Linked DNA regions of Coturnix japonica. The protein of the gene in region 2 purifies or fractionates together with the protein of the main gene of each other region. This does not show direct contact. Links are inferred from orthologs where the notes say so. Each region holds a gene or a part of one and is shown on either strand. Other genes may lie near its edges.

Evidence for each region.
Region 1: the proteins of L3MBTL1 (region 2) and ANAPC1 purify together in Homo sapiens (affinity purification with mass spectrometry; 4 studies listed by BioGRID and IntAct, counting the BioPlex papers as one, with this or other methods). This does not show direct contact. The link is inferred for Coturnix japonica from reciprocal best matches to the Homo sapiens genes L3MBTL1 and ANAPC1.

Annotation. Positions count from the first base shown.
Region 1 is NC_029518.1:4,569,648-4,573,464, reverse strand, and holds part of ANAPC1 (anaphase-promoting complex subunit 1), read right to left. Parts: intron 3,765-3,817; coding exon 3,690-3,764; intron 2,699-3,689; coding exon 2,433-2,698; intron 1,170-2,432; coding exon 1,078-1,169; intron 215-1,077; coding exon 75-214; intron 1-74. UniProt on the Homo sapiens protein: Component of the anaphase promoting complex/cyclosome (APC/C), a cell cycle-regulated E3 ubiquitin ligase that controls progression through mitosis and the G1 phase of the cell cycle.
Region 2 is NC_029535.1:4,322-8,138, forward strand, and holds part of L3MBTL1 (lethal(3)malignant brain tumor-like protein 1), read right to left. Parts: intron 3,612-3,817; coding exon 3,414-3,611; intron 3,111-3,413; coding exon of another isoform or gene 3,094-3,110; coding exon 3,047-3,093; coding exon of another isoform or gene 3,002-3,046; exon of another isoform or gene 2,970-3,001; intron 2,107-2,969; coding exon 1,949-2,106; intron 1,040-1,948; coding exon 977-1,039; intron 154-976; coding exon 19-153; 3' UTR 1-18. UniProt on the Homo sapiens protein: Polycomb group (PcG) protein that specifically recognizes and binds mono- and dimethyllysine residues on target proteins, thereby acting as a 'reader' of a network of post-translational modifications.

The DNA.
Region 1 (3,817 bases), on a different chromosome or scaffold from region 2:
AGCTAGAACAAACCGTGGCCACAGAGTTGTTACGCTGATAGAGGAAAACACGTTATCTTTGCCAGCGTACATACCAGTATTACCAGCTTGCTCCTTTCACAGATTCCTGGTAAGTAAGGATAAGGCTGAACACTTCCTCCCTTTAGACAGGAACTCAGCCACTGAAAGATACTTGGAGGCTCAGCAGAAAAAAATGCGGGATGATGCATGAAACCTGTTTGGATTTAATGGCACGAACAGTCTTGACACCACATTCATGGCAAATGCACAAAAACTGTTTTCTGTTCTCAAAACAAACCCTACACCATTTCTGGTATTTCAAAGCATTATGGATCACATCTGCCTTCTGTCAGATGCAAGCTTATGGCTAGACTGTAATGAAAGAATGAAACATCTTTGTGTCTTTTAAGGAAGTATCAACCTACTGTGAAAAGTAACGTATGTAATTTCTAATTTTCAAAAACCTCAGGGGAACAGTCTTGTCCTTAAACATCAAATCACTAAGTGAGAGAGCAGCCTAACTATAACCTCTTTGTCCTCCCTATTCACAAACACAAATGGCAAAGCCTGACCAATATGATGAGATTATATTTTTTGTGCCAGGAAAAAGAGTATTTTGTTTTGCGTGACCAGCAAATTTCAGCTGGTAGTACATTAAACAGATGCACAAAAAAATAAGTGATCTTATTTTAGCTTTCATCATTGTGCTTTGAGCTCTGATTTCATTTTAAAGGACTATAAACTGAGAGCTTGCAGCAGAAGCACACCTCATTACCAGGTTTTTCCATAGCTCTCCACAAATACTTCTCAGCCAGCCTGAGCTAGGAGTTTGCTGAAATAAAACCATCAACTTTCTCCCAGGTCCTTGCTGTGAAACATCTCATGAAGCACTACACTGAAGGCATCAGCTTGTCACTGCAGGGTTCTAACAGACTTTTAAAGACAAAGGAACGAGACAACCCATGCACAGTTTCACATTTGGTTTAAGTCCTATCCAGCTATCAACATGCTCAGTATTAAGAGAACTTACACACCAATACCATTGAGCACTCGCTTCACATAGCCTTAAAAACTCACCTTGATCAATTATGCAAGTCTGTCCAGAGCTTTTTACAAGGGCTGGATAGTCTCGGTAGTAGTAATCTATATAAGCTTCAAGTTTCAAGTCCCTAGAATGAAAGATGTGAATCATCATACAGTGAAAAACAAAAAGAAAACTCCACGCCTTCTTCCATTTCTGACATTTTCTATTTACTTTTAATATTCGTAATAAACATCAGATACAAGGGGTGAAGCTCTGACTTCTTTAACTAGAGTTGCTTATGGGCATTGCCCCTTTGCAAAGCAAGTAACCTGCATGCTTTATTTCCCCCCAGTGCACTACTTTCCAGCTGTAGTTCTGCTTTGTGCCACACCACCACCACTTACAGCATAGCAACTGTCACTACAACATTCCCAAACTTCCAAATGTTAAAAAGTTAGATAACAAGCTGAGTTTATCTGCAAGATGCGAATGCAAACAACAGCTTCCAGCCACAACAGATACACAGCATTTCATCACAGAGTTGCTTTTCATTGGCATGACAGGATAATGCACAGTTCAATCTTCCCAGGACTAGGGGCTACTTCTGGAAACTACTCCAGTCAACCAACTGCAGTGCCAGGGGAAGAATCTATAGCCAAAGAGATTTTGGTAGAAATATCAAATAAAACTTGGAGAGGCTTTACTGAGTCTTTTGCTTATACAGATAATTGTACGCATGTGTGTCTATACATATGCAATGCAATCTCAATGTGAGGGTGGAAGATGTAAGGATGCAGTCACTGGCTGCAGTAAAAACACCACAAAGATGAATATTTGATAAATCTTGTGAGCTTAGTCAATGCAGTAGACAAAAATGCGAGCTGTCCCGGGTACACAATTTCAGCTGCCAGGGAGGCAACACAGCATGAAAAGCAAGTACTGTGTTTCTTATCATGATCTAAACGGTAAGGTCATGTAAAACCAGAACCGAGATGAGATTCTGGTTATGTTTTAAAGCAAAACAAACACCTACCACCACCAGCAAGAAATCACTAAATGAAGAACACTTTTATCTGAGCAACTGAGCACTGAAAGTCAACAAGGTGTTTTTACTTCTGTCTGCACTCTATGATGTATAACATCTGTTGAGTAGACTTCCTCCCTCTCCCTTTTCTTGTATTGCAGGAGCAAAAGCCATCTACCAAGAACTACTATTTGTGAGTCATGCTTATGCTGGTAAGTGGTCAGGACTATACAAGAGATTTCCTATAACAAATATCTTCAACTGTTATTATTCATTTTCTTCAGAAATATGAAAGTCTGTTCACACTTTGGGTAATCCCCAAAACAATAACATCAAGAGATACTACACAACATACAGCACCTGTGATTTGTTGGTTTGGCATACCTGGCCAGCTGAACCAGAAGAACAACAAGTGACCGATTCTCTTCTCCCATCAGAAGGTTCAGTTTGAACTCCTCATAGACCAGATGAAGAACAAAGAAAATAGCAGGAATATGGGTGAAAAGGAGAGTTGAATAATCCAGGCTAAGGCTCTGTAAGAAGTCATCCTTTGGAGCTAAAACTTCCAGAGGGTCCAATCCCAAGACTTTGGATAGAGGATGAGACTCAAAATTTCTGTGGTAATCAGAGCTCAAGAGATATTCCCAGTCCTAGACAAAGCAAATAGGAGAAAGAGGCAACAAACAATGAACAGACTTTCAGCAAAAGAACTCCATGGCACCACTGCAGAGGGGTCTTCCCCACAACCAGTACAAACACCGTTAAGGTGCCACACAAACCCTGCAAGCTACATTGCACAGATTCAATCGTTACACTGTATCTTCCCATCCTTCCTCCAGTTATGCATAAAATGAATCAAAGCATTAACATTTAAGAAAACAGAGAGATGGAAACTGATTTGAAGTGCCTTCTTTGCACTAATAATTCTGTGTGGCGCCGTGCTGTAATTCACATAGTGCCCCCAGCCTTTTTTCTACTTCCATCACAGCATGTTGGGCATTTACATCTTAACCTGTTTCATACAGATTGCAGCCTGTAAGCCCCATGGGTTCACTGAGCTGCCAACCTACAAAACCTAGTGGCACAATTGTACCACTGTAGCTTGTAAGCTTCTTACAGTGGAATGCTAGTAAGCCTTATCCACTTCATTGCTTGACTATGTTAGAGAACAACCTTCCTACTCTTACCTAGGCAAAACCTGGTGAATCAATCTTGAACACACTGCTAAATTCAGAAAGAACCAGTGCATTCAGTGGAGCATGTAATTTGATGCTCTTAACTTGCTGAAGGTGCTGAGTGGAGGAGAGAGTAAGCCAACTTTTTTTTAAGGGGATAGAACATCTAGGATGTTCTATATGTTCTATTTGTTGTCTATATGTTGTCTATTTGGCAGTCAAAAAACTGCAACGTGTTGCTTTGTAATTCATGTTAAATTCATTCCTGAATCTAACTTCTCTGAAATTGGGACCTGACAAGAAAAGGTCACATGATACAGACGCAGCACAGTGCAAAACAGCTTTCCTTCCCCCACAGGCTTGCAATCCCTGGTGAGTCCAGATCAGAGGTGTTTCTTCTGGATTATCTTAAAAAACAAAACAACACACCCCCAGCTTTCATTTGTCAAAGAGAACTATTTCTTACTTCATCTGATCCTGTTTCTGATGGCCTAGCTTTCTTTGGTGCACTCACTGGTGACGGTGATCCTCCAACATTAAGCTGCAAGAAACAAGACCAAGGTTGTGTAAGTAATACACCAGTCCTAATACGTC
Region 2 (3,817 bases):
CAGTGGGGCCAAGAAAAGTCACTTTAAGGTGTCATCGGCATTCTTGAACATGAGGATGGCATTGTAGATCTTGAGAGCAGGGCCCAGCTTAACACTCATAATCTTGACAATGTCAGCCTGAGTCAGCAAGAGGAATGCTTCACCATCAATCATCTGCAGAGGAGAGTAGGGACTTAAGGCATTCATCGACAACCCAGGCTGCGACATCCTACAGACAGACAGTGCAGGCACTCTGGAGATGCATACAATCACATTCACTTCTGGCAGCCCACCACAGCCTCCCCCCTGCTCATATGGAGCTTGGCAAGAGCCACCCACAGTGCAATCACTGAAAAGTGATTGCAGCAGAGTGAGGTTGGTCTCTTCTCACTGGTGACAGATGACAGGAGGAGGGGAAATGGCCTCACGTTGCACCAGAGGAGGTTTAGTTTGGATATCAGGAAGAATTTCTTTACAGAATGGGTTGTTAAGCACTGGAATAGGCTCCCCAGGGAGAGTCACCATCCCTGGATGTGTTTAAAAACCATCTGGATGTGGTGCTCAGGGACATGATTGAGTGGAGGGTTGTTAGTTAGGGTAGTATGGTTAGGTTGTGGTTGGACTTGATGATCTTTAAGGTCTTTTTCAATCTGAGCAGTTCTGTGATTCTATGAAGCTGCAGCACCCTCCTCCTGCTCACCAGTCTCAGCCTCCTCAGAGGGACCCTTCTTCACTCAGGCCAAGGGAAGAGGGAAGCACAACTTGATATGGACAGAATCCAGAATCTCCCTCTTGCCACTGCCTGCAAGGGCAGACAGCTGCACACTGGAATGCCATGCAACTGCTGCCCCCAGGGTGGGAATCACTGCCAGGTGGTGGATGTGCTCTAGACATTCAGCAGCAAAGCCACCAAAGGAAGGCCAGTGATCAATTTTTTCCTCCTCTGTTGGCAAACAGCTGTTTTGGGCAGCTGCATTCATCCTCCAGACCTTCTCACCTCATCTTTGAAGAGCTTGGCTTGGTCCTCACAACCCGTCAGAGTTTGAACAAAGCTAAAGACCTTGGAATAAACAGAAAGAAATGTCAAGATGGAAGCAATGTTTCTGTCTGGTGACACCCCACAAGATCACATCCTCATTTCCACAGAAGCTTTATGACTCCTTTAAGTTAACCCATGCCTGGTAGGGCAAAGTGCTGCATTCTCCTATGCCACTCCTGACCTGGGTGTAAGAAGCTGGAACAATTTTTGCCTCAAAGCTTGTTCAGCGGAACCCATCCAAGACATAGCCTGCACAACAAACAGCATGGGTGCTGGTCCTTTCCAGCCTCAGAGTAGCAAGTGCTACAATAGCTTTATCTCCAATAAGCCATCTCCAGACCAACAATACGATTCCCACCGAGGGACTGGGAGAGAAGTGGCGTGCACAGGAGGAATGGGAAATCAGGCAGAGCTGGGTGCTGGGGCTGCCAGTACAGTGTCAGAGGTCCAGCTACCCAGTCTTCAAGAGAGGCCACTACTGATACCAAAGAAAGTGAATGAGAGTGATGAGTATGAATCAGAAGTAAATATTTCATCACAGGAGAGAGAGGGAAGCGATTCCCCATTTGCAAAGTCTATGGGAGGTTTTTTGCTTGTTTGTTTTGTCTTGTTTTGTTTTGTTTTTTTATTATTTAGAAAAGAGAAAACTGATTTGGAAAACTGGTATGCTAAATGAAGACTGTTGTCCTTCACTGCCTGCCCTGCTAGCATTGCATTCAAGCCAAGGAAGAATCTGGTAGTTCTACATATTCTTCCCAAGCCACTGCCACCAGGGCATGCGACTGACAGCTGTCCACACCTCATTAGCCCAGGGAAAAGGCCACTGTTCTGTGCCTGGGATGTGTATCATGGTGCTGCCCAGCCAGCTCAAGTTCTCCCAGTCACGCCAGTGGGTTAGGAACCAGCACACACACTCCAAAACCATCTTACCTCATCAGTTGTCCATTTGGCTACTGTGGTTGCTGTGATGCCAGCCACTCCTGGTAGGAGTTTGCAGTGCTGCTCCCAACATAGAGATAGAGAGCGGTCAGGATGGGCAGACAGGGCAGACATGAAGAGTGACTGGTGCATGTTGTCTGAAGAAATAGCTGCCAATAAAAACGTAAGATATGATATAAAGAAGGGGGATGAGAACATCCTATTCCATTCTACAAGCCTTGGAGAAGACTCTGTTCAGGAGAGGACCTGGGGCTGGGAGCAGATGGTCTCATGGGGTCATGTTATCAAGGGCTAGTGGCTGTCCTTTGAATTAACAGGTTAATGATTCATTGGCATTCAATATGGTGGGACGGGGGATGGTGAGGGAAGTTCAGAGACCAGGCTGACTTTGCCTTGTTCTCTTCAGTCCTTCATGCTGAGATAAATTTCAATTCAAATTTCACACCAGAATACTATCCCTTATCATTCAACTAAATTTAGGTTTAAAACAAAACTTTAAGCCTTAGTCTAATGAGCCAATGATGGCTTCCAAAAAGAGACCTTCATTCACCTTCAGTGATGGGCTGAACACCAAGCCAGCCTATGGTAAAATCAATACTGGCTGGAGAAAATGCCTTACCACCCCACAGCCACTTATATCCCATGCCAACCATCAGAACTAGATGCCAAACAAAATGTTCAGCAACAGGTTCTGTTCTGCAGTAGTGTGGCACATCACACTGAGGATTTGGGGTATAGCACTGATAGGATGAAGGCACAGCACCTCTGGCTGAAGAAGACAAAGTGCCTGGAAAAATGCACAGCCAAAGAGATTGGGTCCCAATTCCCTGCCCCAAAGCATTCAAAGATTCATAGATACTATTCAAGAGAAGTGATGAGGGACCTAGCAGAGTTCTGATAAGAGTCATGGACATCCCTTGTTAGATGGTTTTGACATCATGAGGTCTACACAGCCCTCAGCCTGGTGCTGACCTGTGCAAGGACTAACTGAGCAAGCCAAGGAGAGACATACCTCTGCCAGCCACCACTCCAGCTCCTCAAGTCTTACCCCTGTTCTGCAATAACACCATGGCAGAGGAGCGCACTTACTCTGGAAATCTTCCTGCTGGATCTTCCGGTACTTTGGAGGTCGCCCTCTAAAGATAAAGGAAAACTGATTTCACTTGTGTTGGAACTGGCTAAGGGCCCTCCACCACACTGCACAGAGCAATGCCTTGACAGTAGGAGCAAGGCTTACCCTCAGACCCTGACAAAAAGGGTTGACAGCCAAAGAAACACAATGTGAATAGAAAAAACAAATAGGAGAGGTGTCCAAGGTCACTAAATAAGAGCTGCAATAACAAACACCAGCTGTCAGCAAGCATGCTCCCCTGCAGGCAAGGAGTCTCTCCAACTCAACCATCCATCCTACGGATGCTATGTGTAGCCCAGTGGCTCCACACAGGCTTGCCCCTACCTCCCATGGTGCCGAGATTTCTTCCGCTGAGAGAAGCCAATCAGGTTCCTCTTGCGAGTTGAGGCCTCAGTATCAGACAAGTCTGCCTTAAGCCTGCCCTGGTTCTTCTCTGCCAGAGGGCACCCTGAGAGGCAGTAGTGTGCTGTGAATCTCCCTGTCACATGTCCTGATCCATCACAGCCCGGCGTGGGGCACTTCCTGGAGAACAGAGGGCAAGTGAGAGTTGGACAAAGCATGAGGCAAGAGTGGGTGAACCTGGCTTGGGACCACCCTATGACACCAAATGCTGGAAGCCATAACCCTGGTCAAACAAAGCATAGTAAAGACTTGCTGATCACATTCCCTGGAGTCATGGTGATAGCTGCATGGGTTCATAGATACGGCAAATCCAGTCCCTCCAGGTA